Saccharomyces cerevisiae S288C: one gene and its partners. Changing the gene in region 1 together with any one later gene gives a genetic interaction. Each region holds a gene or a part of one and is shown on either strand. Other genes may lie near its edges.

What was found.
Region 2: mutations in CLA4 (region 1) and SPA2 together harm fitness more than expected from each alone (negative genetic interaction), as found in Saccharomyces cerevisiae (7 studies listed by BioGRID, with this or other methods).
Region 3: mutations in CLA4 (region 1) and UBP8 together harm fitness more than expected from each alone (negative genetic interaction), as found in Saccharomyces cerevisiae (5 studies listed by BioGRID, with this or other methods).
Region 4: mutations in CLA4 (region 1) and PHO23 together harm fitness more than expected from each alone (negative genetic interaction), as found in Saccharomyces cerevisiae (6 studies listed by BioGRID, with this or other methods).

Annotation. Positions count from the first base shown.
Region 1 is NC_001146.8:65,152-73,739, reverse strand, and holds CLA4 (serine/threonine protein kinase CLA4), read right to left. Parts: upstream 4,826-8,588; coding exon 2,297-4,825; downstream 1-2,296. Other genes in the region: MON2 (Mon2p), read left to right, coding at 1-2,067; non-canonical poly(A) polymerase TRF5, read right to left, coding at 5,295-7,223; TOS6 (Tos6p), read right to left, coding at 7,688-7,996. UniProt on the Saccharomyces cerevisiae protein: Involved in budding and cytokinesis.
Region 2 is NC_001144.5:97,869-108,459, forward strand, and holds SPA2 (Spa2p), read left to right. Parts: upstream 1-3,078; coding exon 3,079-7,479; downstream 7,480-10,591. Other genes in the region: nucleoporin POM33, read right to left, coding at 129-968; HIF1 (Hif1p), read right to left, coding at 1,176-2,333; serine/threonine protein kinase KNS1, read right to left, coding at 7,818-10,031. UniProt on the Saccharomyces cerevisiae protein: Involved in pheromone-induced morphogenesis and efficient mating, perhaps as a cytoskeletal protein.
Region 3 is NC_001145.3:714,994-718,630, forward strand, and holds UBP8 (ubiquitin-specific protease UBP8), read left to right. Parts: upstream 1-1,721; coding exon 1,722-3,137; downstream 3,138-3,637. Other genes in the region: FMP42 (Fmp42p), read right to left, coding at 1-452; FSH2 (putative serine hydrolase), read right to left, coding at 645-1,316; MRE11 (MRX complex nuclease subunit), read right to left, coding at 3,582-3,637. UniProt on the Saccharomyces cerevisiae protein: Histone deubiquitinating enzyme component of the transcription coactivator SAGA complex. SAGA acts as a general cofactor required for essentially all RNA polymerase II transcription.
Region 4 is NC_001146.8:439,099-446,158, reverse strand, and holds PHO23 (Pho23p), read left to right. Parts: upstream 1-3,800; coding exon 3,801-4,793; downstream 4,794-7,060. Other genes in the region: YNL095C (uncharacterized protein), read left to right, coding at 1-1,247; 40S ribosomal protein eS7 RPS7B, read left to right, coding at 1,844-1,987, 2,333-2,761; PLS1 (Pls1p), read left to right, coding at 5,240-5,362; Ras family GTPase RAS2, read left to right, coding at 5,589-6,557; putative tyrosine protein phosphatase OCA1, read left to right, coding at 6,876-7,060. UniProt on the Saccharomyces cerevisiae protein: Component of the RPD3C(L) histone deacetylase complex (HDAC) responsible for the deacetylation of lysine residues on the N-terminal part of the core histones (H2A, H2B, H3 and H4).

The DNA of each region.
Region 1 (8,588 bases):
GTTATTGATACGCTTGTCAATTTCGTAAGTCAGAAGCGAAATCTTAATATCTCCTTTTCTTCTATTAGTCAGTTCTGGTTAGTTGGAGATTATCTCAGAGTCCGCTTCAATCCCGAAACATTAAATTTAAGTGATGAGAAACGTAGAAGTCTCTCCGAAAAGATTAATAATCAAAAATTAATTGAAATCATTACATCCAGTTCATCTCATGATTGGGAACTTTACAACGGATTATGGATATATCTTTTGAAAAATTTGATCAATTGTACTAATGATGATAGAGTAGAAGTTAAAAACGGTGCTGTGCAGACTTTTTTCAGAATCATCGACTCCCATTCTGTTTGCTTCCCCCCATGGGACCTAATTTTCTTAGAGGTTATTGAACCACTGCTTACCAAGGAATGGTCCACTGAAGAACTCGAAAATGAAACTGATTTTATAAATGTAACATTGCAAGGATTAATTAAGCTTTATCCGGAACACTTTAAGGACTTCAAAAACAACACTACCTGCGCCAAGGAATGGTCAATGTTATTAGATTTTTTGAAAAGATTGTTGTCTTCCACTTCTAATAATACCAAGAATGCTGTAATATTAAATTATCAAACCCTGCTGAAAGAAATCATCACTATTGAGGACGTTCCATCAGATATATTGAAAAAGTGCTGCGAAATATTTACCGACTACAATATTACGTACAGTGATCTCTCCACAAACGCATCGAGCAAAACTGAATACGATTGTATATACGAACTAATAACCGGATTTCCTCCTCTTTACCAATTAATATCGAAATACGATGCGATGACAGATGAATTTGTGGAAAAAGTTCTTCTTTTATTCAATTCTGCCATAAAATATCCTCTCTTACCTGAGTTTGTCCAAGACAAAACTAAACCGTCCTCTATGCAAAAGGCCATATTGTCTGGACTTGATATATTTATGACAAATGATTCTAAAGATACAGAAATTTTGATTCTTCTCCAGTTAAGTACAATATCGATATTGGCTTTTGATACAAGGGAAAAAATAACAAAAAAACTTGGACCAAAGCTTCCAAAAGCATCACTTAACAGGTTACCAACTTTTGAGGCAATCAGCTATATGTCATGTTCTAACCTGAGAAATAGAATAGCAAAAATAGATCAATTTGGTATATCCACACTGAAAGCAAAGCATATTTTAAGAATATTGAAAAATTTGGCTGAAATCATCAAGCGAAAATCGCTTATTACAGGGTCAGAGAGTGATGAAATCCCCATATGGGTTCTTGCTTCCAATTGCTTCTGTGATTTGTCGAACAAAATTTTCAAATCACTCCAAGAAGATGCAGAAAATCCATTAAAGGATAACTTTTGTGATTTATTTATAAATGTTATTGTTGTCACATTACAAAGAATCAACCCAGAGCTCGATAATTTAACCGAGATAGACGATTTGAATGAGTATTCCAAATATAGGGAGATATTGCTGGAAAACAGAATCATTGATCTCTTCAATGAAAGGCAATTAGACACTTTCATTTATGCCGTCTGGGATTGTTCATTTTTATATGAATTCGATGAATTAGAAAATGCTTTGATGCAAGACTGTGGTACGTTTTCTGAATTGTCTCAAAAACTATCTTCGTTCGATTTTTCATGTATATTTGGATCCACCACAAATCCTCGCTTTCAGACAAAATATAAGTGCTCTTTAGAGTGCTTGCAAGATTTGGTTAATTTTATGTTGAACACAAACGAGAAATTAAGAAAGTTAACTGCTCCTTATCTTTCTGCAAGAATTGCCCTTGCTCTTAGAAGATATATCTCAGATGAATACTTGATTGGGCGAGCACCAATACCAAAATTGCGTAAAACAGAACTAGCTACTCTATTAAATGGGCTATGCGTGATTTTAAGAGGTGTTCTAGATCAAAATTCGACCCTTGGCAACAAACAAATTGGAGTTGAAAACCTACAAACATTAAGTCCGTTGATTTTAAGAACCATCCCAGTATCTCATAAAATGGATGGCCTCCAAGATAAAGTTTTGGAATTATCACTTGGATTTACGAAACTAGACTAGAAGCTGAAGCATGGACGAATATTTTTAAAAATCACGTAGGATAAATAGTAATATTAAACGACATTGGATTGATTATTGTATCGTTGCAGGTCTTTTTTTATTTACTTTAAAAAAAAAACTTTTAAGGTGAACGTATTTATATATTATGCCATTGGTATGCATAGCTAAAAGAAAAGAAATACATAAGATTGTAGTATGTATGATATGCTTATAGAAATAGTTGTGTGCTTCATTCCTTCCACTCCAACAGTGATGTCAAATCCTTTGGATCACATGCCATATTGAAAAAACCGTGGTGTAAAAGCTCTTCGGTTGATGCCCTATATCTAACATCTACGCAAAGGCAAACGCTTAGAAAGCGTTTAATTTCTAAAGACAAACTTTCTGGATGCTTGAGCTTTGGTGTACCATTAGTTGCAATTAAGTACAACGCCTTTAGTGGATCTTCATTTAAATATGGTGGTTCACCCTCCAGCATTTCAATGGTCATGATACCCAAAGACCATACGTCAATCTTTTCATCGTATTCACGTTGTTTGACAACTTCAGGTGCCATCCAGTAAGGTGTCCCAACCATAGTGGCTCTTTTGCTTCTTTTATCAGTTAATCTGGCGCAAAACCCAAAATCGGTAATTTTCACCCTAGCTCTAGTGTCCAGCAAGACATTATCTGATTTAATATCCCTATGAATGATATGCTTGTCGTGTAGAAATTTCAAGCCTTGGCAAGTTTCTCGTACGATATATGCAATTTGGGGTTCTGTTAGTGGTGAATGTGAATTATCGTTGGTGGGACTATTCTCGATAATGTCTGTTAGTGAACCTCCTTCCATAAACTCCATCACAACCCATAGGTCATCGTCTGTTCTCAAATAAGCCTCGAGAAAATTGACGATATTTTTATGACGTGAATCCTTCATAACCAAAATTTCATTCACTATGAGTTCTTTACGAGGTTGTTTAGATAAGACCATTTGCTTGATAGCAACTTTATCTCCTACGTGCGGCTCATCAATATCATTGTTTATGAGTTCGATCATATTACTTTCTGTCGGAATATGCGTCCTCTCTGCAAGGTAGACGGACCCACTTGCACCTTGACCGGCCTTCTCGATCACTTTAAAGCATTGAGATGGATCCGCATTTACGGTGACTTTCTTCAGCTTACTCATTATTTCTGCAGTTGACATGGTAGGCCTTGCTGGCTTCTTCGGTTTGGCCACACCACCCGGTTGTGCGACATCTGCATCCGGTCTCTTTGGGGCCTGCCTCATTGTTTGTGGGGTTGACTGGTCATTCTTAGGTGCAACAGGCTGTACATGTGTGTTACTAGTAGCATTTTGATTTGATGGGTATGGCGCCCTTGGAGCTGATATTGGTGGCTTTGGAGCTGTTCTTTGAGGTTGAAAGTGTGCGGCTGTAGGACTTGAGTTTTGTGCATAACGTGGAATTGCTTGGTTTTGGGTCGACTGTGAACTTAATGGCGATTGAGGTTGTTTGGAATAAGGATTTATCATATTGTGATGTGGCCTATAAGGGTTTAATGGAGACGGAGATGGGGATGGAGATGGAGATGGTCCTTGATGGTGGTATGGATATTGTTGATGCTGTTGTTTTTGTTGCTGCTGCTGCTGCTGCTGCTGCTGCAAAGATCGTTGAGAATTGTTTGGATGCATAGGTCCCCTAGGAAATTGGCCATTGGTTGGGGAGTGTCCGTTTCTCATCTTAGGATATTGTTGGTTGGGAACATTTTGTAAGTGTCTTGGAATATTTGACTGACTAGTGGGCAATTTTGTATTTATTGGTGGCAGTGAGCCGCTTCCTAGAGAAACAGGCGATTTGGTATTTGGTGGTTGTGAGGTTTTCCTCTGTGATACCATACTTGAAGAAACGCCTGAAGATGACTTTGAATTTACTGAATTATTTCTGAGTTTGTTATCATTATAGCTGTTTGGCAGCGATTTTTGAGAGGAGGAAGTTTCACCACTTTGAGGCTTGTCTAAAGTATTTGTGGGATTTCCGGCTCCATTATACTCTTGATAAAACTGCAACACTTGAATGACAGCCGCAGAATTATTGTTCCAATCTTCTCCTGTAATTCTGGAGTGCTTTAATAATTTTTCCCAGTTGGTGGGCATACCAACAAAACTACCTGTTTCTGGATCAAAACCAACGTGAACTTTATGTGTGAAGTTTGTTGGAGAAGATACACCACTTAATAATGGACATTTAGCAAAAATGGCGTCTAACCAACTATGCAAATCGCTTTCTGTCTTTGTAGCAATGTATATTGATTTTTTGGAGTTACTGTCTGATGATACATTCAAAGAGGACGAGGATCCTGATGATACAGAATTTCGGTCACTGCAGCGCACCAACTCAAAACAATATTGTTTCAACTGTGTCCTGCTTACACTTATAATACTAGTTAGTGGTATCTTCAAGATCGCATCGTCATTTTGTTTATCGTTCTTGTAAAGGGCTACATACGAATCGTGTAGCATCAGGTATCTCTTTTGCCATATAAATGAAAGTATACCGTCATCTTTGTAGGACACCCACCCGCTTTTTTTTTTGGAGGTACTTGTACCTAAATGGGACGCTGATGTTAAATCCAGTTGACTCATAAGTTTGGTTATAGGTTGCGTTTGATTATAGCAAGTACGGCCCTGGCTATTTGAACTGGGAGGTCTAGGTGCCGGTCCGATATTTTGGAAATCGTTGTCAGATATCTTATTCGCTGCAGCTGAAAGAGACATATTTTGCACTATTTCTTTTATGTTTCAGTTTCACTGTTCGATTTATTACACCAAAGAAACCACCAGGAATGAATGATAGCAAAAGATGCAATGGTTTTCAGTAGCGCAGTACGTTCGATCGAAATAAAGGACTTAAGGTTTTGATCTTATTAGCAGCAGAAGCAAATAACTGGCAACGCTAATACATGTACAAGGCTCAGGCTAGAAGGTTCTTTCAAATTATGTGTCTCGAATCAGACTCTCCTGCACGTTCCATACTATGTTTCTATCATGCCAGAGATGAAAAATTTCGTCATCTTACCGGCTCGAGAAAATTTCCATATCGGGAAACTATCCTTTTTTGGTGGCTCTATATTTCCGGAAAGGGAAAATACCCACGCGTTTGATATCATTAGCTTATTGTTTCACTTGGACATCGATGTGGTATTCTTGTATAAATAGTAAATAGTCTATAAGAGTCTATATTGTGTTAAAGAGCCTGGCCTTTAGAGAGCCAGTAGTCCCTTCTCGTTTGAGCATCTACTGTCTTAGTTTCCAGTGGTGATTTCTCATCTTGTCCCGAAGGGGTATCTCTTCCTTTTTGATCTTGATCGGATTCTTGATCATTCTCAGAAAGTCCCATCAAGTCATCTATGCTGAGGTTGTTTTGGTGTAGGAGAGAGCCCTGATCAGTTTTTTTCACTTTGCGTTTCAATTTGCTTCTGCTCACTCCAAAATCCGGAGGTGGAGATGGAATGGCACTCTTTTTGATTTCCCCTTCTCTCTTATCCTTTTTTGCCTTCTGTTTCTTCTTTGCAGGTTCGTCAAGTTTGTAGATCTCCTCTACTGGCAAGTCTTCGGTGTCGTTTATAAATAAATCTTCTTGAACTATCCTCGTGCGCCTCTTGTGGTAGCGCTCGTTTTCAATGATGGCTTTATTCTGCACTAAATCTCTTTCGTCGTTGAAATCTCTCTTTTGCCCACGGTATTTGATCACGTTTCCGAGTATACTTTTTCCAACGCGGTCTTTGAATGTAGCAGAATTCAATTCCCAGCATTTATTGACCAACAGTTCGAAGGCACCAGCAAAGGCCTTTTTTATATCCTTCATATTAAAGGAGCCTCTGCTTATATTATTGTTAGGATCACCAGGATCTTGAATAGCTAGCGAGAATTTACTCCTTGAAGGTTCCAAAGTTCTCCAACACGATTTAGGAATATAAGAGGCGTAACCATCAGATATGCTTATAGCAACGTCATCATAACCAAAATTTTTTCCGTAAAGTTCGAAGAAGTCAATCAGTAGAACACCCAGGTTATCTAGAACGTCGATATCGTTTGATTTTATTCGCGGATGCATATTTAAAAAAGAATAAACCAAACAGATTACTGTGAAACCTCCCAATCCTCCTGTGTGCACATTGTTCAATCGTCTTGAATGCAAAAATTGTTTTATTATCAGTACCAGTTCACGTAACCCTGGAGAGTCTCTTAGCCATTCCCTGATGAGTTTTGCAGCCTCTAACCCGTTCGTTCTTTCAAATGAAACGTCGATATGTAACTGTGATTGGGGCTCTATGAATTTGATAATAGGCACTCGCGTTTTAACAATAACCTCCATTCTTATAGCTAGCCCTTTGTTTTTCAAATGTCTCGCCAATTCATAAATGTAATTTCTGTCCTCTTTATCGCGATTCCGGCTGTTTACGACACAGTCAATGTCAGAACCCGGCAAATATAAATCGGTGGCAAAAGAACCAAACACATGCAAATCTGCATCCGACCACAGTTCCTTGACCGCCCGGCGTAGTTTATCGATCGTTCTATTTCTGCACTTGATTTCGTTCTTGCTTGGAGAGATATAATGAACGAAATCTTTGATTTCTGAAGTTAGCCAATCTGCTATTCTCCTTTGTTTCGAATGACAATGATTTCTTATCCAAGGATACTCCACATTGCAAGCGCTTTCAGTGTTCAGAGATTGCTGTGAAGTAAGCTTAGAAACTTCATGTTCATCGGTCAACAGAAAACTGCTTCTTTCATCATCATCTTCCTTTATTTGTTCTGTTTCATCTTCAGAGCTGTCCGAAAAAGCAATAAAATCTTGATTATCTTCGAGAGAATTGTTTCTTTTGCTAGATTCTGCCCTTTGTTCATCTTCACTTGATGTGACTTCTTCTATTACAGGTATGTCGACATCACTTTTATCATTTTCCATTAAGACTAGGTTTCCGAAAGTGTCATCGTCTTCAACGTCGATAGCGAGGCTCTCGTACTTGTTAAAATGCGAGCGATTATCGTTAAATACTTCAAGCATTTTTTGCGTTCTTGTGAAGGATGATTTACGCATACGTTTTGTATGTTTATCTTCTTTTCTTTTACCTTTTGTAGGTGAATATTTTGCTTTGAGCCTTGTCATGACGACCCAATAAACTCCGCCCTCGTTTGTTTATTTGAAAAATAAAAAATGATACGCTAGTGAAACGAACCAGCTTAACCTTGTGAACTGTTATTACAGATGTTTGCTTTCATCAAGTATCGCTTTATTACCTTTTTACAACTTTTTTTTTTTTAACTGCGATGAGATGAGATGCCTGGAAATTTGCGGGGGGTAACCACAAGAAAATAAATGTAACATATCGTTGAATTAGTATGTAGTTATGAGTTTATACAATGGTCTAGTAAGGTGCCTTCTGCGTCCTTATCGAAAGGAACTTTAGGAGAATGAAGCAGACGTTCCTTTATTAAGTATGACCAAGGAGTCCTTGCTTCGAAGCTAGCGAATCTGGTAACTGAGGGAAAATACATATCATGTAGATAAAAAAATGTGAAATTAATGAAATGAAGCGGAATATCCTTCCTAGTTTAAGTTGTCCATGCAACTTATAACAAAGCAAAGGCAGCAGCACCCATGATGGCACCCATACCCGCAACGGAGCCTTTAACGGCAGCGCCGACGTATGTGCTGATCTCATGGGTGGTGGTGTTAGCTTGGCTACTGATAGATTTAGTGGATAGAGTGGCAATGGTACTTGTAGTGTATGGAGTGGAAGTAGTTTTCACGGTGGAGACCATAGATGTAGTACTTTGTGGGGTGGTGGTAACATCTACGTAAGTGACACCATCAGAGGTGGAATCTGCGGAAGCAAATGCGGCAATGGCAGCAACGGTGGAGAGAGTAGAGAATTTCATTGTATTTTGATATTGATATTAAAGGAAGGTAAAAAGTTGGTTTAAAATTAGCCGAAGGCAGGGATAAGGAAGGAATGCAGTTGGTTTTCTATGGACTACTCTTTTAAATGATATATGTACCAATAAAGATGGAGTAGGCGTAATAACAAAGTTTCAAGGCCATATATAGCGCCTTATATATACACATGCATGTATTTATCACGAATTTTATTTTCCTCGAGAATCACCACCGTTCATTACAAGACTATACCAGAAGACGCCAAAATCAGACAGAATTGATCTGGCGGTGCCTTATTCGGAAGTACAAGATCAGTATCAATGTAGTGACTCTGCTACATTTCGTGTCAGGATCTTCACCTTTTGGCGACTGCTAATGGCTATATATACCGTCATTTTCGCGTCACTTCTTTGTGCTTCCTGCTTTTTCGTGACGCGCGGTTTTGAAAACATAGACAAGTTTTTGGCGTCGTTGTTAATTTCGAAGAGGATGTCCAATATTTTTTTTAAGGAATAAGGATACTTCAAGACTAGATTCCCCCCTGCATTCCCATCAGAACCGTAAACCTTGGCGCTTTCCTTGGGAAGTATTCAA
Region 2 (10,591 bases), on another chromosome or scaffold:
TTCAAGGAATAAAGATATAAAATTGATAAAAAATATATAACAAATTGTAACAAAAAGCAAAAGAGAGGAGTGGAATGTTATACAAAGTAATTAGAAGGTATTGAACTTGTAAAAAGTAATAATAAAACTCAATTCTGCTTCTTGGTCACTTGTGGGGCACCGCTTAAGCGGTACTCAGACAAGCGGATCAAGCTCATTTTAATTGCATTATAAGCTCTTTTGACGAATGGTGGGATAGATGGGTGGCTTATGATCCCGTCCATTCTAACTCTCCATTGAGCAAAGGCGGCTTTCATGTACTTGGAGTTTTCGTATCTTAACTTAATAAAGATGGCGTACACAACAAGTATGATCCAAGACCTTTGGAAGCACAGAATGGCTCTGAAAAGGACCAAAATGAAAATAAGCAGCTCAGCAGTACCGACCCAGTGCATGCACAAGTCATTGTACTGAACAACAAACTTGTCGATGAAGCTGAGGATCTTACTTGAATCTTTACTGGAAAGGTGGAAGACTTTTGGTAAGAGAACTTTTTCAACGTAGATTAAAACATGGAATACAGCAAACGCGAAAAATGGGATTAAGCTGAATGAAAATCTTGGAGTGAACAACCAGAAGTTGGCCAAAACCAAATAAAGCACGTCTTCACTCTTTAGGAGTCCAGCAACGCGTGATTTTATGGAAGCCTTAGTGGCAGCGGCATCTTGAGTCTGCAATGGTTCATTGCGGGTGAAAAATTGCTGGTAAATGATGATACCGAAAGATTCGATGACACCGAGATATGCCGATCTGTAATAAAATTCTGACATCTTGAGCAGGTAAAGAATGGAGCTGATCAATACGACGGAATGACCGGTAAACCATGCAAACTGCAAGCTCTTGGCTACTGCCATGAACCTTTGCACGAGCGACTTATCTCTGGCAGGGAGGTTTGGGGGGCCTTGGTTATTAGCGGGTCTTGATGACATTATACTGACTATTCTTGGCTAGTGTTTCTTGCTCCTTATGAATAGAGAAAAATGACTTTTTTTAGATGTAGTAAGTATGTCATTTCAGGGATGGTCTGCTTGCTCTTTAAATATTTTTTCACCCTTTTAAAATGGGGCCCTTTCGCCGTACCAAAGAAGGAGAAATATACATTACGTATGTAGGTTGCTACATTTTACACAAAACTATCAATGCCTTCTAGGCTTCTTCTTGACCAGTTGAGAGAGATCATTGAAGTCACCAAGGGGCTTTTCGAGGGCGGGGAAGCCGATGGAGGTCGTGGGCTGCGAAAGAGGCCTCTTGGAGCCGTGCTGCTGATTTTCTTGCACCTCATCAATATCGTCTTGAATCTGTGCGAGCCTTGCCTGCTGTAACTCGCTGTCCTTGGGTCTTGTAGTCATGTGTTTTTCAAGCAGAGCCTTGGCATGCTTGAATCTTTTTAGTTTGTCCTTAGCCGGCACCTGATCAACCCACCTTAAAGCATCACACACCAAAAATTCTGCTTGTATCACCTTCTCAGTTACTTGTTCTGCGGGTTTCAAGGTCTTGTAATAGCCAAGCGCCTTCAAGTAATGATGAATGGCTCTACTGAACATCTCCGCCTCCCTTTCGATGTCACCCATCAGGATATACACATCACCGATGCGCAATCTGCTGTTCTCGGTTAGAGATTGGCCATCTGCTGTAGGGCGGCCCAACAGCATCAAGGCCTGCGCCAGTAGGTCCAAAGCATTCTCATACAGATCATTTTCAAAGTAAATGTGGAAACCAGACTTGCGAAGTTGCGATACGTCTTCAATTTCATCGTCATGTTCATTCGCTGGACTGAAGTTAGCCAATTCGTGCAAAGCTAAGCGTTCTTCCTCTTTCTCCACGTTTTCTTCCTCTTCTTCGCTACCTTCGCCACTGTCCTCACTATCACCACTGTCGACATCACCAGTCAAGTCTTCCTCTTCTTGGTCGAATTGGAACATCCTAGAATTAGGAATTTCTGTTTGACCGTTCTCGTTCCCCTCTTCTCCATTGCTCACATCAGACTCAGGCTCAGACTCAGACTCAGACCCAGATCCATCGTCACCTGCCAGAAGAGCGTCCCCAAACAGATTACCAGAATTCTGTACTTCCATGTTGTATACAGCTTGTGCGAATATAGTAAACAGTTCAGGATCAGGCAACAAACCATCTTTTGGGAGAGAGTCCAAAGTTTGTTGGCAGCGTTTAGCAGCTTCTAAGAACTTTTTCTGTGCGAGTAAATCTTTTGCAATTTGAACCTGTCTTTCCATATCAATTTGAACTTTATGTCTGCTAGTTCCGTTTGCCAACACGTCTTCTGCCCTTAGTTTCATATTCTGTTACTTCTAGAAGGAGACCTCATCGCCGATGTTACCTCAAAATTGAGTAGAATGAAATAATACAAAATTGGAAAAAACGCGAAACTTCAGTGCAGTAACATATCGTTCCGACATTCTCTGAGAAGTGGTAAGATTCCACTGCCGGGGAGCTACGAGTGCTCTTGCAAGTTTTTAGACACTGCTATATCCTTCGACTACGTAACCCCATTTTTTTATTTTTCTATATAAAAACATGCACTGTATACATATAATCACGTAAGTTCAAGTCGTGCTTAAAACGGGCACAGAAAACTAACTATGAGTTGCCGTACCATACATAAACTAGGAGAAGGTAGCGCAGTTCTTTTTTTTTACCAAAGGTTTGCACAAAAAAGATGGTCTAACGTAAGTAAGTTATCAATAAAACTGTTAAAAGTAGTATAAGAATCTTGAGATAGGCTTATTATTATGACTTTTTATGGCGGAAAAGGAAGAAGAAATACTGCGCCGGGTGATGCGTGACGCGTTTTTGGAAACGATGAGAATAAACTTTGAAGTATTTTGAGAATAATATTCTATTATCGAGTTCTTTCAGCAGAAAGCAACACATAGCTACGTATAGTTCGGTAAGATAAATTTGGTCAGAAGCGTGTGAAAGACGCTGAGAAACCACGTGAGACGAAGATTCAAATCAAGGCGTGAGGAATAACGCAATACGAGCCACCGAAACAGAATAAACAAAAGAAAAGAAAGAGTAAACATGGGTACGTCAAGCGAGGTTTCTCTCGCACATCATAGAGATATCTTCCATTACTACGTCTCACTGAAGACTTTTTTCGAGGTGACTGGCGAAAATCGTGACAGGTCAAATTCGACACGAGCTCAAAAGGCCAGAGCCAAGCTGTTGAAGCTATCTTCTTCGCAATTTTACGAGCTGAGTACAGACGTGTCCGATGAGCTGCAGAGGAGAATCGGTGAAGATGCTAACCAACCAGATTACCTTTTGCCGAAGGCAAATTTCCACATGAAAAGGAACCAGGCTAGACAGAAACTGGCCAATCTATCACAAACTCGATTTAATGATTTGTTGGACGATATCCTTTTTGAGATCAAGAGAAGAGGGTTCGACAAGGATTTGGATGCTCCACGGCCCCCATTACCGCAGCCGATGAAACAAGAGGTCAGCAAAGACAGCGATGATACTGCAAGAACATCCACAAATTCTTCCTCTGTGACTCAAGTAGCTCCAAACGTCTCCGTACAACCTTCTTTGGTCATTCCTAAGATGGCATCTATCGATTGGTCTTCTGAGGAAGAAGAAGAGGAGCAAGTAAAGGAGAAGCCAAATGAACCGGAGGGAAAACAAACAAGCATGGATGAAAAGAAAGAGGCTAAACCTGCTCTAAACCCCATAGTTACAGATTCTGATCTGCCTGACTCCCAAGTGCTCGCTCGTGATATCACATCAATGGCAAGGACTCCAACAACGACGCATAAAAATTACTGGGACGTTAATGATTCTCCAATTATCAAGGTAGATAAAGATATCGATAACGAAAAGGGTCCCGAACAGTTGAAGAGCCCTGAAGTACAACGGGCTGAGAACAATAACCCTAACTCAGAGATGGAAGACAAGGTTAAAGAACTGACTGATTTAAACAGCGACTTACATTTGCAAATTGAAGATTTGAATGCTAAGTTAGCATCTTTAACCAGCGAGAAGGAAAAGGAGAAGAAGGAAGAGAAGGAGGAAAAAGAAAAGGAAAAGAACTTAAAGATTAACTACACCATTGATGAAAGTTTTCAGAAAGAATTGCTGTCATTAAACTCTCAAATCGGTGAATTATCAATTGAGAATGAAAATTTGAAGCAGAAAATTTCAGAATTCGAACTGCATCAAAAAAAGAATGACAACCATAATGATTTGAAAATCACTGACGGTTTTATTAGCAAGTACTCTTCTGCCGATGGGCTCATTCCAGCTCAATACATCTTAAACGCTAACAACTTGATAATTCAATTTACTACTAGGCTTTCCGCAGTACCCATAGGCGACTCCACGGCAATTTCCCATCAAATTGGCGAAGAGTTATTTCAAATATTATCCCAGTTATCGAACCTAATCTCCCAGCTATTACTATCGGCCGACCTATTACAGTACAAAGATCAGGTCATTTTACTGAAGGCATCATTATCGCATGCGATCACATCGATAAGATATTTCTCTGTTTACGGTCCCGTATTAATTCCGAAAATAACTGTGCAAGCTGCTGTTTCAGAGGTTTGTTTTGCCATGTGTAATCTAATTGATTCAGCGAAAATAAAATCCGATTCAAATGGTGAGAGCACCACCTCTAATGAAGGTAACCGACAGGTATTAGAATATTCTTCACCAACTGCTACCACCCCAATGACGCCAACTTTCCCCTCGACTTCTGGAATAAATATGAAGAAGGGGTTTATAAACCCAAGAAAACCAGCATCTTTCTTGAATGATGTGGAGGAAGAAGAATCTCCAGTCAAGCCATTGAAAATTACACAAAAGGCAATTAACAGTCCGATCATAAGACCGTCATCGTCTAATGGAGTTCCAACAACCTCAAGAAAACCTTCAGGAACGGGGCTATTTAGTTTAATGATTGATTCATCAATTGCTAAGAATAGCTCCCATAAAGAGGATAATGATAAATATGTCTCGCCCATAAAGGCAGTAACATCGGCCTCCAATTCTGCAAGTAGCAATATTTCCGAAATTCCTAAACTAACACTACCTCCACAAGCCAAAATCGGTACTGTTATTCCACCGTCAGAGAATCAAGTTCCCAATATTAAAATCGAGAATACAGAAGAGGATAATAAAAGGAGTGACATAACAAATGAAATCTCTGTTAAACCAACTTCTAGCATTGCTGATAAACTGAAACAATTTGAGCAAAGTTCCGAAAAGAAATCATCACCAAAGGAAAATCCTATAGCAAAAGAAGAAATGGATTCAAAACCAAAACTATCCAATAAATTTATCACTTCAATGAATGATGTGTCCACAGATGATTCAAGCTCTGATGGTAACGAAAATGACGATGCAGACGATGATGATGATTTTACCTATATGGCATTGAAACAAACAATGAAGAGAGAAGGTTCAAAAATTGAAAAAAATAATGACAGCAAACTACCTGCAAATATAGTGGAACTTGATTTACATGAGTCACCGGAGTCCGTGAAGATTGAATCTCCTGAATCGATAAAGGAAATCACGTCATCTGAAATGTCTTCAGAAATGCCAAGTAGTTCGCTGCCTAAGAGATTAGTAGAGGATGTTGAGCCTTCAGAAATGCCAGAGAAGGGCGCATCTGTAGAATCAGTCAGGAAGAAAAATTTTCAAGAACCACTTGGTAATGTCGAATCTCCGGATATGACGCAGAAGGTCAAGTCTTTGGGTATGACAGGAAAGGCTGTAGGCCCAGAATCAGATAGTAGGGTCGAATCTCCGGGCATGACAGGACAGATTAAATCTTTGAATATGGCAGGAAAAGTTGTAGGCCCAGAAGCAGATAGTAGGGTCGAATCTCCGGGCATGAAAGAGCAGATTAAGTCTTTGGGTATGACAGGAAAAATTACAGCTCAAGAATCAATCAAGTCCCCGGAAGCGGCTAGGAAGTTGGCGTCATCAGGAGAAGTTGACAAAATTGAATCTCCAAGAATGGTAAGGGAAAGCGAGTCCTTGGAGGCAGTAGGCAATACTATCCCCTCAAACATGACAGTGAAAATGGAATCCCCAAATTTAAAGGGAAATACTGTGTCTGAACCTCAAGAAATAAGGAGAGACATTGCCTCCTCAGAGCCGATAGAGAATGTTGACCCCCCAAAAGTACTAAAAAAGATTGTCTTTCCAAAGGCTGTTAATAGAACTGGATCACCAAAATCAGTCGAAAAGACTCCATCTTCAGCTACACTGAAAAAGAGCGGGCTCCCAGAACCGAATAGCCAAATTGTTTCTCCTGAATTGGCAAAAAATTCACCTCTAGCACCGATAAAGAAAAATGTCGAGTTACGAGAAACTAATAAACCACATACTGAGACTATCACTTCTGTGGAACCAACAAACAAGGATGCCAATACTTCTTGGAGAGACGCCGACTTAAACCGTACGATCAAACGAGAGGAGGAGGACGAAGATTTTGATAGAGTGAACCACAATATCCAGATCACTGGTGCATATACGAAAACTGGAAAAATTGATTATCATAAAATACCTGTTGATCGTAAAGCAAAAAGCGAAGCAGAAGTGCATACTTCCGAGGAAGATATTGATGAATCAAATAATGTTAATGGAAAAAGAGCTGATGCCCAAATACACATCACTGAAAGAAAGCATGCTTTCGTAAATCCAACTGAAAATTCACAGGTAAAAAAGACGAGCCACTCACCATTTTTAAACAGTAAACCGGTTCAATACGAGAACTCAGAGTCGAACGGCGGCATTAACAACCACATAAAGATAAAAAATACTGGAGAAACTACGGCACATGACGAGAAACATTATAGTGATGATGATGATTCTAGCTATCAATTTGTTCCCATGAAACATGAAGAACAAGAACAAGAACAAAACAGAAGTGAGGAAGAGGAAAGTGAAGATGACGATGAAGAGGAAGAAGACAGTGATTTTGATGTGGATACATTTGACATTGAAAATCCGGATAATACACTATCAGAGTTACTATTGTATTTAGAACATCAAACAATGGACGTCATATCCACGATTCAATCGCTTTTGACATCGATCAAGAAACCACAGGTGACGAAGGGTAATTTGAGGGGAGAATCGAATGCAATCAACCAAGTCATAGGTCAAATGGTGGACGCTACTAGCATATCAATGGAGCAAAGCAGAAATGCCAATTTGAAGAAACACGGTGATTGGGTGGTGCAAAGTCTAAGAGACTGTTCGCGTAGAATGACAATTTTGTGCCAATTAACTGGCGATGGAATACTAGCGAAGGAAAAGAGCGATCAAGATTATGCTGACAAAAACTTCAAACAGCGGTTGGCAGGGATTGCGTTTGATGTTGCCAAATGTACAAAGGAGCTGGTAAAAACTGTAGAAGAGGCAAGTTTGAAGGACGAAATAAATTATTTGAATTCGAAGTTGAAGTAAAGTTAGTAGTATCTAGAGGAGAAAGAAAAGGAAGACAAAGACAATCAATAGAATGTATTATGTATGACATATAATAATAATAATTATAATAATAATAATAATAGTAGTAGCAGTAATAATAATATTATTATAGTATATTAAAACAACAAAAAATTAGTAAAAATACTATAAATGTTTGAATATGAAGATATATATGTAGGAAGAATTTTTATTGAATATAGAAATTTAAAGAAATATTATTAAAAACCGGAAAATGAAAAAGAAGAGTTAAAAAAAAAAAAAACGGAACTAGTAAAAGATGTGAAAAAAAGAAGAGAAAAGTAGAACGAGAACACCCACTATCCTTGGGTATTATTATAAGTTGCAATACCATCATCCAGTATGCCCAGATTAAACCATTCATGGTCCAGAGCGTCCTTTGCGGTAATCCTTTTTGTTGGGTCGAACTCAAACATTTTCCTGAGTAGATCGATGAACCAGTACCAAAACAAGAAAGTTTCCTTATCGAGTTCATCAGTAGTTGAGGAAGAAGAGGAATGTGTTTGTCTTTTCCATGCCAATTTCGAATTTATCAAAGACCAGTTTTTCTCCGGCGGTAGATTCCAATTGATGCTTAAGCTATCGCCGTAATCCTGTTTCAAGACCTTTGAGATGTAAATATCTAAGCGATCACATGACTGCAAGACCCTTTTCATTGACTTTTCGGTGGTTATGGTATCTCCGCGTTTATTTTTTTCAGGCCATTGTAAGCTTAAAGTTTTTCTGTCGAAATGCTTTATCACCGTTGAATTTAGGTCTGATGGAGAGTTGCCCAATTTATGTTTAGATTTGTAAAACATCTTATCAATAATGTCTGTGGGGAAAGGGGTTCCATTGATTCGTTGCATCATAGCCATATGTTCTAGATTTTCATGAATGGGGTAAAGAGATTCGCCAATAACCAGTTCTACTAGGACACACGCGATGGACCAAATGTCGCAGGGGAACGACCAGCCCAAGCCAAGGACAATTTCCGGGGCTCTATAGTGACGAGTGGATATTACAGGAGGATGATATTCGTAATGGAAAATTGCGCTACCGAAATCAATGATTTTGATTTCTGGATTTTTCAAGATTTTGCGCTTCCCCTTACTGGCTTCACGGCGTCTCTTGCTTAGCGACTGTACGGTTTTCAAAGGCAATTTTTGAGCAATATGGGTTTCGTCACAAATCAGGATATTTTCTGGTTTCAAATCCGTGTGTATTATGCCCAAATCGTGCAAGAAGCAGACAGATCTGATTAGCTGTCTGGCAATGGCCTGAATATGAGAGCCGGGGAACCTGGCAATGCCGTTGGAGCACATAAAATCGTAAATGGACCTGCCGTATAGATCTGTCACCAAACAAATGTGATTTTTGTAATCGAAGCACTCCCTTAGCAAGAGGCACTGGAACTGACCTTGAGGGTCATTATTCAGGATAGTCTGTAGAATTCTTAGTTCTGTTTTGGCGGCTTCTCTATATCTATCTACAGCCCTTATCACTTTTACAGCCACGTAATTAGGTTCATACTTGTTATCGATGCATTTAAGTACTTTACCAAACGTGCCTTGGCCCAATAGGTCCTTCACAACAAAGCGGCCGCCACTGCCAAATATGTCGTTTTCCTGGTAAACGTAGTGACCGTCTTTGTCCGTTTTGAAATTTGATTTATTGGATGATGCGCTTTCTGAAGAGCCGTTTGATGTAAATTTCCGTAGTGAAGAACCAATTTGTTTCTTGAGGTTGGATTGAGGCAGGGAAGCTATTTGTGCTGGTGGGTTGGAAAAGGGAGAAGTGCTGTGAGCAATCGTGAGATTCACTGCCTTGTTGCCCTCCAGAGTCTTTGCACACGACCCCGTTAGATGCAACAGCTCATTTTCAGTTTGCGTTACTCTTGGCACGATAGCGTTGGTTTGATCAGGAACATTAAAATAGTTCGATTGGTAGCTCAGCTTCGATAGAGGCAACTGAGGCAGTGAGATGGTTCTTTGCTTCTTGAATTTCTTTGGTGTCGTGATATACGTACTATTGCTTGTAGCTGCGGTACCGCACCCTGGATTATTTGAAGTAACAATATTATTGTTGTTATTGATACTGCTGCTACTAGGCAGAATCAAAGGTGACGAAAACTGAATTGGCTGCTCTTTGATAAAAATGATGTCATCGTCAGCATCCTCGTCCACTCGACTACTGTTATGATTATTACTGTTATTGATTGTGGTGTTAATGATACGCGGCTCCTCGTCTAGTTCTATGGCATTTTCATTGTCCAAGAACAACTGGTGTTGGTGTTGCCGAGGACGGAGCGGATTGTCTGCTTGATTCAGGTCTAGACTGTTCCTCAGATTGTCTGTTAGAAAAGAATTTTGCCGAGCAAACATCTCGTCCAGCAGCTTGTTTGTGCGCGTTTCTTCGAAATTATCCAAAAAGGTCTTGTTAGAGCTTGTATTGTTAGCAGGGCCCGTAGTAGTGGAATTATTCATATTTGCTCTTGAACGTTTTCTAGTGCCAATTTGAATATTCTGTGACATAACTAAGGTACGCGGAAGATAAAGCAATAATGAAGAAGAGCAGTATGCGTGTAGATTAGTCTTTGTTGTGCTAAATCTTCGACTTGGTAAATACTATGTTTCTTTCACTCTTTTTCTGTCTCCCACTTTGTTTCCTTTTTCTTTTTCTTTTTTTTTTTTGGGTTTGCTTGCTATCTGGCGCAGTATTTCGTGAATATAATATCTATTTAGTTAGCGTAAGCACGAGGAGTTACTGCACTGTTTCCTTTCACTTGGTGGTGAGGTAACAATACTTTGTAAATCCGGTAGATCTGGGAAGTAAATACTAAACTTTATTCTAATATAGGAACTTCATAATATAAAATCCAACGCACGATGCTAGAGATAAAAAAAGAGGGTGGGAGATGTGGAGCCAGGATTCAAATCGAAAATCGTAATCGGAAACTAAACCAGCATTGCAACCGGGCCATAAGCCATATCGTTAAGCACGCCAAAGCTTTTTCCCTTCGCTGTGTGTTTCCTCGCAACTTTAACTCCGGCCACTCACTAAGCCAAGGCGTGAGGAGAGAGACTAAAGCTTT
Region 3 (3,637 bases), on another chromosome or scaffold:
CCTGATCTTTGTGGGAAGCTATTTGCCAATTGAAAACATGAAATGAAGACGAACGGACCGGCAACTGCCAAAAGCGTGTAACCGACAAGATATGGGTCCCAAAGAGACACTAGATGCTTGGCAGAAATAAAATTACCGCTTGCTAGGAACAAGAGACATGATCCTATTATTCCGCAGACACGAGGTCCATACATATCCAAAATCTTACCGACAGGAAGGGCCATGATGTTTGTTACAGTAGCACTGAGAGCAAATATAAAATTTAATTTCAGATCCTGTGCAGTACATAATAATCTATCACCATCCTTAGGATCACACAATTCATGGTATACACCTTCTGAAATTAAAATAGGTTTCAAAGCAGCAAATCCAAAGATAATACCAGCTGAAAAAAGACACCAGATACAAGCACAGGCAACCTGTGCGTATCTCAACGTTCTTGTACTGGTCATTACAGTCTTTACTGCCCTAATACTGGCCTAACGAGGAATAAAATCATTTATAGATGCCATTGTTATCGTTATCATAATGAAGCATCGTATCGGTAGTTAAGTTAATTTGACGTATTATTACCCGGAGGATTTAATCATGTATAAATATGTATGTGAAGATTATGTGAAGATTACGTGCTATATATACTTGCCTCAGGTCAACTGCTGGAGCCATTGAGCCACTTTTCTCACAAACCCTCTTGAGTTCGGCACAAAGTGGCCCCCAGAGTGCATTAGTAAAGTGCGAGAGTCTTCCGTACAAGAGTTATATAGGCCTTGCACTTTGGCCGGCTCTGTGATAGTGTCAAGTTCTCCTTGAACATGTAGAGATGGGACCGATATTGGATGCAGGTCGTACTGTTCTTGATACTGTTGTGGTTGGAACCTGAAACCACTGACCGCCATGAAAAATTCTAGCGGCGGCTGTTCTTCTGTTGTAAGGCCCAACAAACCATTGAAATCCGTTGCTAGGTATCCAGCTACACCGGCTCCTTGACTAAATCCTACAATACCTGCAAATGGACCATTTTCAAGGACATAATTGTGTAAATAGTCGATTGTCGTCTGCGGTATGAAATAGCCACCGGTGGAAGGGTCATTCTCTAGCCACGCAAGCACACCGGTATTCTCACCATCCCCAGGTGCATCAGCAATTACCTCACCCAAGAAATCAGGAACATCAGCTGGGGGAAATTCATTGGGTGCTGTTGGATAGTAGAGTTTATATCCTAACTTTTCCATTTCGGCGCGAAACCCCTTTGTCTTAGAGGCAAAGTAGTCACCTGACTGCGCAAGCCCATGTAACATCAATACATTCTTCGTCATGGTTACAGCTATTAAATCTTATAGTCTTGTAGTATTGCACATTCTTTCTTCACTTATACCTTTTTTTTCTTCTCTATTCTTCCTTTTTTTGCTTTTCTTTGAATTTTTCAAGTGAAAAAAAATCCTCGATTATAGTGTGTAAAAAGCATCAATAATTTATATTGTATATGGGCTAGAAAGCTGTCGTAATAGCAAAGGGATTATATTAGTGGACCTGATTAATTCTAAAAAGATATTTTACGGATAATAATAAAGGTTTTCTTTTGAGACCAGTTAGTCCATTTCTTTCAACTGGCTGTCATAATTTTGAATACTATTTATTGATCGGATCAAAAGGGAAAACTACAGCTTCGGTCCTCGTCGTCCTACTTGAAACCCTGCTTTTTTTATTTGTTATTAATAATTATGAGCATTTGTCCACATATACAGCAAGTATTTCAGAATGAAAAGTCTAAAGATGGGGTTCTAAAAACGTGCAATGCTGCCAGGTATATATTAAATCATTCCGTACCCAAGGAAAAATTCTTAAACACCATGAAATGTGGTACATGCCACGAAATAAACTCTGGTGCAACTTTCATGTGTCTACAATGTGGATTTTGTGGATGTTGGAACCATTCGCATTTTCTCTCTCACAGTAAACAGATTGGTCACATATTTGGTATCAACTCAAATAATGGCCTTTTATTTTGCTTCAAATGTGAGGACTATATAGGGAATATCGATCTGATTAACGATGCTATCCTAGCGAAGTATTGGGACGACGTGTGCACAAAGACCATGGTTCCTAGCATGGAAAGAAGAGATGGGCTTTCTGGCCTGATCAACATGGGATCCACTTGTTTCATGAGTAGTATTCTCCAATGTCTAATCCATAACCCTTACTTTATTAGGCACTCAATGAGTCAAATTCATTCTAATAATTGTAAAGTGCGTTCTCCAGATAAATGTTTTTCATGTGCACTCGATAAAATTGTTCATGAACTTTATGGAGCGCTGAATACAAAGCAAGCTTCTTCGTCATCTACATCTACTAATCGGCAAACCGGATTCATATATCTTTTAACTTGTGCCTGGAAAATCAATCAAAATCTAGCAGGGTATTCACAACAAGATGCTCATGAATTTTGGCAGTTTATAATTAACCAAATCCACCAAAGCTATGTTCTTGATTTGCCAAATGCCAAGGAAGTCAGCAGAGCAAATAATAAGCAGTGTGAATGCATAGTGCATACTGTGTTTGAGGGCTCCTTGGAAAGTTCTATTGTGTGTCCAGGCTGTCAAAATAATTCAAAGACAACCATTGATCCATTCTTGGATCTTTCTCTGGATATCAAGGATAAGAAAAAACTTTATGAATGTCTTGACAGTTTCCATAAAAAAGAACAGTTGAAGGATTTCAACTATCATTGTGGGGAGTGTAACAGCACTCAAGATGCAATAAAGCAACTAGGCATACACAAATTACCATCGGTTTTGGTTTTGCAATTGAAAAGATTCGAACACCTACTTAATGGAAGTAACAGAAAACTAGACGATTTTATTGAATTTCCAACTTATTTAAATATGAAAAATTACTGTTCAACGAAGGAAAAAGATAAGCATTCTGAAAATGGCAAGGTTCCAGACATTATTTACGAATTAATCGGTATTGTTTCCCACAAGGGGACGGTTAATGAGGGACATTATATTGCATTTTGTAAAATTTCTGGAGGGCAATGGTTTAAATTCAATGATTCCATGGTCTCCTCTATATCTCAAGAAGAGGTTTTAAAGGAACAGGCATATTTATTATTCTACACCATTCGTCAAGTAAATTGATTCAGCAAATAGCATTCAACAATAATAATAAAACAAAAAAGAAGAAAAAGCTATGCATATTCCTATCACAGTTAACGCTTGCTTCCGTTCTTTTTTCTATATCATCGTTTCCATCATGTTTTTCTTTAAATTGAATACTTTCCTATGCTCTTAATGAGTTGCGATTGTGCATATACTGTATTTCAAAATCCTTTGTATCTAACTAAGGAAGAAAATTACTATGACGTTTATTCAGGATTTTTTTTTTTCATTCCTTGCTATACGAACAAAAGAGCAAAGGCTGGAAAACTAAGTGAGTTTATATATAGTAATAATTAAAGAACATATCATTATCATGAATTTAGAATGCAAATTTGCTCCTCTCAAAATGGCATACCTTGTTGTTCGCGAAGGCAAGCCCTTGGTTATAAATAGGATATAATATAATATAGGGATCAAGTACAACTATTTTCTTTTCTTAGCAAGGAGACTTCCAAGAATATCCGTCTTTGGCGTCCTTG
Region 4 (7,060 bases), 370 kb from region 1:
CAAAGGGTGAAAACGCAGACGTACCACCAATTTCAAGGAGATCAACAAATAGTATAGCTCCCCTGTCACTACCAGACACTTCTTCGAATTCAAAGATTACAAAACCAGTTCAGGTGAAGGCAAGAAATACTATTGCGTGCACTCAAAGCGAAGAGTCACAGGCAACTCGTGGTTCAAATCCATTAGATAGCCAATCATCTGCTTCAACAATACATTCTTATAATACGTCAGAGAGTTATGAGAGTAGCATAGATACTATGAGAGCACGTAGAACCGCGAGCCAGCCGAGAGCTTACAATACTACCACACTCCTAGAAGAGAACTGTTTAGATGAAAAATGCCCAAAAAATATGTCTATGGCGGCATTGGAACCTATCCGCTCCATTGATATGCGTGCATTACCTTCTCAAAATATACACCATCTTATCAGAGAGTACTCCAACGTTGACCAGTATGGTCATCAAAGGAGGAATTCCAGTTTACGCGGCGCTGATATGAATGATGTGCATTCAATTAGCTCAAATTCCACTTTACAGACTATAAAAACTGCTAACCTAACCAGGATCTTAACATCAGATGCCACTGTAAGTAAAAAGGATATTGAAACATCCGGCGAATCATTACCACAGTGGATGAGAAAATTTTCATTAACTCCATTACTTGTGTTTTTCCTAAAGAATTGTTTGAGACCGTGCTCTATGGCCGTGATCATCGCCCTAACTGTTGCATTTATCCCATGGGTCAAGGCTTTGTTCGTGACTACCGCTAATACTCCTCACATAAGCCAAGCTCCTGACAATGCACCACCATTAAGCTTTTTCATGGATTTTACAGGTTATGTCGGTGCCGCATGTGTTCCATTTGGGTTGATATTATTAGGAGCAACTTTAGGAAGATTAAAGATTGGCAACCTTTATCCTGGATTTTGGAAAGCCGCTGTGACACTCGTCATTTTGAGACAATGTGTCATGCCAATTTTTGGTGTCCTATGGTGTGATCGGTTAGTGAAAGCTGGATGGGTTAATTGGCAAGATGATAGAATGCTACTATTTGTTATAGCAATCAGCTGGAACTTGCCAACGATGACTACCCTTATATATTTCACCGCCAGTTTTACGCCGCCAGAAACAACTGCGCCAATCCAAATGGAGTGTGTTTCATTTTTCTTAATGCTGCAATACCCGCTAATGGTTGTTAGCTTGCCATTTTTAGTGTCTTACTTTCTGAAAGTACAGATGAACCTTTAGTTTTAATCCATTAAACAAAAAATTATTACCACTCCTAATCACTGTTTTAGGGTGGGTTAAAATTAACATTCTCCATTTTTATATAGAACTAATAAAAAACACCTACTTATAGACACGACCAAACTTTCCACAACCTTTCATCAGAGAGAAATGTTGATCAAGTTGAATGCGTGAAAGTAGCAATTCGAAACAACAACTACCTGTCATTCTGCATAGTAGTAGTTACGAAAGGCACAGAAAATAACAAAAAAAAAAAAAAAGTCAATTTTCTACGGTCTCCATCCGTACCTCTTTAAATCCGTACATTATTGTTTTGCTTAATTTCAATATTTCGGAAAAAGCGAGCGCCCTGGTAAAATGTGGTTCAAGCCTGCGAGCCTTTGCTTGGTAACTCACCAAATGCAATTCAGTCACGTTCCACACAGTTTGGGTTTCCAGCCTGGCTTTAGGGAAGAATGGGCTCACTAGGCGTTCATAATACGCGGAGGGGGAAATACCAAATGCTATTGATTATGGTTAAAATATGTGTTATTTGACTTTGTATATACAAACAGAAGAGAAACCAACACACTAAAGACTAGACACATAACTGACCAATGTCCTCTGTCCAATCCAAGATCTTATCCCAAGCTCCAAGTGAGTTGGAATTACAAGTCGCCAAGACCTTCATCGATCTAGAAAGCTCCTCTCCAGAACTAAAGGCTGACTTGAGACCATTGCAAATCAAATCTATCAGAGAAGTATGTTAAAAGTTATATAATTTGGAAGCAGCAACATTGTGATTTCTTCTAAAGGGGTTCTTTGCAGTAATTTTTTCAAAAAAGAGTGATTTTGAGCAGTATCTGTATGAAATTTTCATGTGTTCGAGAAAAATAGTAATTCCGAGAGCTGTCAATACCATGAACGTTGCGATGAGCCTTTGAACTATAAAGGCCTCCTTGGTCAGTACCAATATCGATGAATAAAATAGAAGCACGCGAAAAAGACCTTACCCCAAGGAGAAGAATCACAAACCCTTTTTTGTTATGAATGAACCAATTCAGTTACTAACTTTATTTCAACGCTGCTTGATTCTTATTGTTTAGATTGATGTCACCGGTGGTAAGAAAGCACTAGTCCTTTTTGTCCCAGTTCCAGCTTTGTCTGCATACCATAAGGTCCAAACCAAATTGACCCGTGAATTGGAAAAGAAATTCCCTGACCGTCATGTTATTTTCTTGGCTGAAAGAAGAATCTTGCCAAAACCATCTAGAACATCTAGACAAGTCCAAAAGAGACCAAGATCCAGAACTTTGACTGCTGTTCACGACAAGGTTTTGGAAGACATGGTTTTCCCAACTGAAATTGTCGGTAAAAGAGTTAGATATTTGGTTGGTGGTAACAAGATCCAAAAGGTTTTGTTAGACTCCAAGGATGTTCAACAAATCGACTACAAGTTGGAATCTTTCCAAGCTGTCTACAACAAGTTGACTGGCAAACAAATTGTTTTTGAAATTCCAAGCCAGACCAACTAAATAGTGAGATAACTATCATTCTCATCATTTGTCATACTTAAAGAAAATAATATTAAGAAAAAATAATAAAAAAAGAAACATAGTTATGAGAATACAAAAGGAGGTTTCCAAAAAGTGGGCTTTTTTAATTCGAGTAAAATAATTATGAATGTATACTTAAATATATTTTGTATCTGTCAATATAGAGATGCTTTAATTGGTGTTTTGACATTTTGGAATACATATTGGGTTGATTTCCCAAGTTCTCGCTGCAATCAGATAAAAAGGAAAAAAAATAATGGTTGCTAAGAGATTCGAACTCTTGCATCTTACGATACCTGAGTATTCCCACAGTTAACTGCGGTCAAGATATTTCTTGAATCAGGCGCCTTAGACCGCTCGGCCAAACAACCACTTATTTGTTGAAGAAAAAGCATTATTTATCGCTAGACAACGATACGTCCATCAACAACCGTTAGTTCTTTCACATTGATATGCGGATTACTTATCTGAAGGAAAGGAAAAAGGCGTGGAACAAGTGAGCATTAACATAACCATCTGAAATCTTAGATGATCCCAAGTATGTGTAATTAGATCCGCCTCTTCGCCCAGCACATTGTCCATGCATTATCTGCTTACCTCTACGCGTACCTTGACATGGCGTGTTACGTGTTTCAACTTTGTATAATCAGAATTTCATTTGAGTATATTTTACAAGTCAAAAGCCCAAATGACGTATACTTGAAATAATTGAGGCACGTCCAATTGTGAGTGGCAAACCTTTTTTTCGGTATTCTAGATAGAGCTAATCGCGTATTTGCAATTATAGTTTACAATTCTTAGACGATTTCCGAAGAAAGTTAAAAATGCCCTTGAAAAAAAAATATGTAGGAAAGAGTGCATGCACATGAAGAAGAAAGAAAGAGCTAGGGAAAAAACGAAAAAGGAGCCTAAGGAAAAGAGTTAGGCGTTTACAACAGGACGAACCCGGAAGGAGAAAAGTTTGTAGTCTTGCAGTATCACAAACAGCAACCACGTTCATAGTCTGAAATACGTACAAATGAGTTCACCAGCGAACCTATTCCCTGGATTAAACGACATAACTGACGTGCTGGAGGAATTCCCACTGGCCACCTCCAGATATTTAACATTACTACACGAAATAGATGCAAAATGTGTGCATTCTATGCCGAATTTGAACGAGAGGATAGATAAGTTCTTGAAGAAAGACTTCAATAAAGATCACCAAACACAAGTAAGACTGCTCAATAATATCAACAAGATTTATGAAGAACTGATGCCATCGCTGGAGGAGAAAATGCATGTCTCATCCATTATGCTGGATAATCTAGACAGATTGACGTCCCGGTTAGAATTGGCGTATGAAGTCGCAATCAAGAACACAGAAATTCCTAGAGGTTTAAGACTGGGTGTGGACAACCATCCAGCAATGCACCTCCATCATGAACTAATGGAAAAAATAGAGAGCAAATCAAACAGCAAATCGTCGCAGGCACTGAAGAGCGAATCAAGAAGAGAAGCCATGGCTGCCAACAGGAGGCAGGGCGAACATTACTCCGCCAGCACACACCAACAAGACGACTCAAAGAACGACGCAAACTACGGAGGCAGCAGGCACGAGAGCCAAGACCACACTGGTAACAACACAAACTCAAGAAAAAGAGCCAACGCTGCCAATACCAACAACGCCGATCCAGAGACCAAAAAACGCAAGAGGAGAGTTGCCACCACAGCCGTTTCACCAAGCACTATCAGCACGGCAACTGCCGTCAATAATGGCAGGATAGGTACATCTACAGCGTCCAGGGGAGTTAGCAGCGTCGGAAACAGCAACAACAGCAGGATATCAAGACCAAAAACCAACGACTACGGCGAACCGCTCTACTGCTACTGTAACCAAGTGGCATACGGGGAAATGGTGGGGTGTGATGGCGCAGACTGTGAGCTAGAATGGTTCCATTTGCCATGTATTGGACTCGAAACTCTACCTAAGGGCAAGTGGTATTGCGACGACTGCAAAAAAAAACTGTGAAATAGCTCTCGGGCGAATATCGCCTTAAGGAAATATCTACTAAATACCGAATATATACATATATATATATCTTAGCTACATATATATATATCTTAGCGTTTTAACGGGCGTGGCCGTATCAATGGATCTGCAAGATACTTGGGCCCTACCGGTCTAGATAAAATATTCAAATCGATGGTGATGACGGCACGATAAAACGTAATAAATGATGAAATGACTTGTCACGGCGTAGCAGCGCCAGCAGCTCAGTCTAATCGCCGTACAGTGGGTGGTGTGGCTAATCGCTTAGGCTTTTTATTCAGAAGGACCTTTTCATTCACCTCGCCCCCCTTGGAGGTTCCTGCCTGACCCCTTTGCCCCTGGCCTCGCCCCTGCGCCATGTCTCTGCCTGGAGCGTGACATTTAGGACGGTGAAGCTAGGCAGGCCTTCAGAAATTAAACGGAACATGACAGCAAAGACGAAACAAAGCTGGAATAAGGGGATCTGGGAAAACGGGAAACAAGGTTCACATCAGCAAACATTTCTACCGAAAATCTGGGTAAACATTTATAGTACCCCAACATCTTAAGTTTTAGCCGTTGTCTTCTCTTATCGCCTAGAATCGCTCATTTCAAGCGTAACGCAATCCGGCTTTTGTTTTTTTTCCATTTTATTCATCCACTCTTTATCTGACTCTTCTGCACTATATTAATCAACTAGGAGAAAATTACTTGAGCAGAAAGATACGAGAGAATTACGGATAAAAAAACCAAGTTAACCGTTTTCGAATTGAAAGGAGATATACAGAAAAAAAAATGCCTTTGAACAAGTCGAACATAAGAGAGTACAAGCTAGTCGTCGTTGGTGGTGGTGGTGTTGGTAAATCTGCTTTGACCATACAATTGACCCAATCGCACTTTGTAGATGAATACGATCCCACAATTGAGGATTCATACAGGAAGCAAGTGGTGATTGATGATGAAGTGTCTATATTGGACATTTTGGATACTGCAGGGCAGGAAGAATACTCTGCTATGAGGGAACAATACATGCGCAACGGCGAAGGATTCCTATTGGTTTACTCTATAACGTCCAAGTCGTCTCTTGATGAGCTTATGACTTACTATCAACAGATATTGAGAGTCAAAGATACCGACTATGTTCCAATTGTGGTTGTTGGTAACAAATCTGATTTAGAAAACGAAAAACAGGTCTCTTACCAGGACGGGTTGAACATGGCAAAGCAAATGAACGCTCCTTTCTTGGAGACATCTGCTAAGCAAGCAATCAACGTGGAAGAGGCGTTTTACACTCTAGCACGTTTAGTTAGAGACGAAGGCGGCAAGTACAACAAGACTTTGACGGAAAATGACAACTCCAAGCAAACTTCTCAAGATACAAAAGGGAGCGGTGCCAACTCTGTGCCTAGAAATAGCGGTGGCCACAGGAAGATGAGCAATGCTGCCAACGGTAAAAATGTGAACAGTAGCACAACTGTCGTGAATGCCAGGAATGCAAGCATAGAGAGTAAGACAGGGTTGGCAGGCAACCAGGCGACAAATGGTAAGACACAAACTGATCGCACCAATATAGACAATTCCACGGGCCAAGCTGGTCAGGCCAACGCTCAAAGCGCTAATACGGTTAATAATCGTGTAAATAATAATAGTAAGGCCGGTCAAGTTTCAAATGCTAAACAGGCTAGGAAGCAGCAAGCTGCACCCGGCGGTAACACCAGTGAAGCCTCCAAGAGCGGATCGGGTGGCTGTTGTATTATAAGTTAATAAAAAGGAAATAGTTGTAGAAACGCTAAGACGAAAAGAACTCTATAAAGTTGAAACGAGTACACACATTTATAAATATATACAAAAGTAAATAAAAAAGTGACTGTTTTTATATTGCTTATTGCCATTTGCTATTTCCGTTTCATTCTTGTTAACATTGGAAACTTTGGGCAATATCATATGGTTGCCGGGTAAAGGAAAAAACAAACAACATCGCTATAACATAAAATTGGACATTGCAGAGAGTCATCAATCACATCCATTTTCACAAGAAAGAGGTGTTCCACCTGGAATAACAAGCTTCTCTTTCCCCTTAGAATGACATCTAAAGTTGGTGAATATGAGGACGTTCCAGAGGATGAGTCCCGCCTCACAGAAGAGAACGTATCCGTACCTGAAGAAGAAGTAGAAGACGAAGACGAGGAAGAAGACGACGATGATGATCATATATATATCAATGAAGAAACAGAATCTGGTCGCGAAAAGGTCTTGGTATCACATGC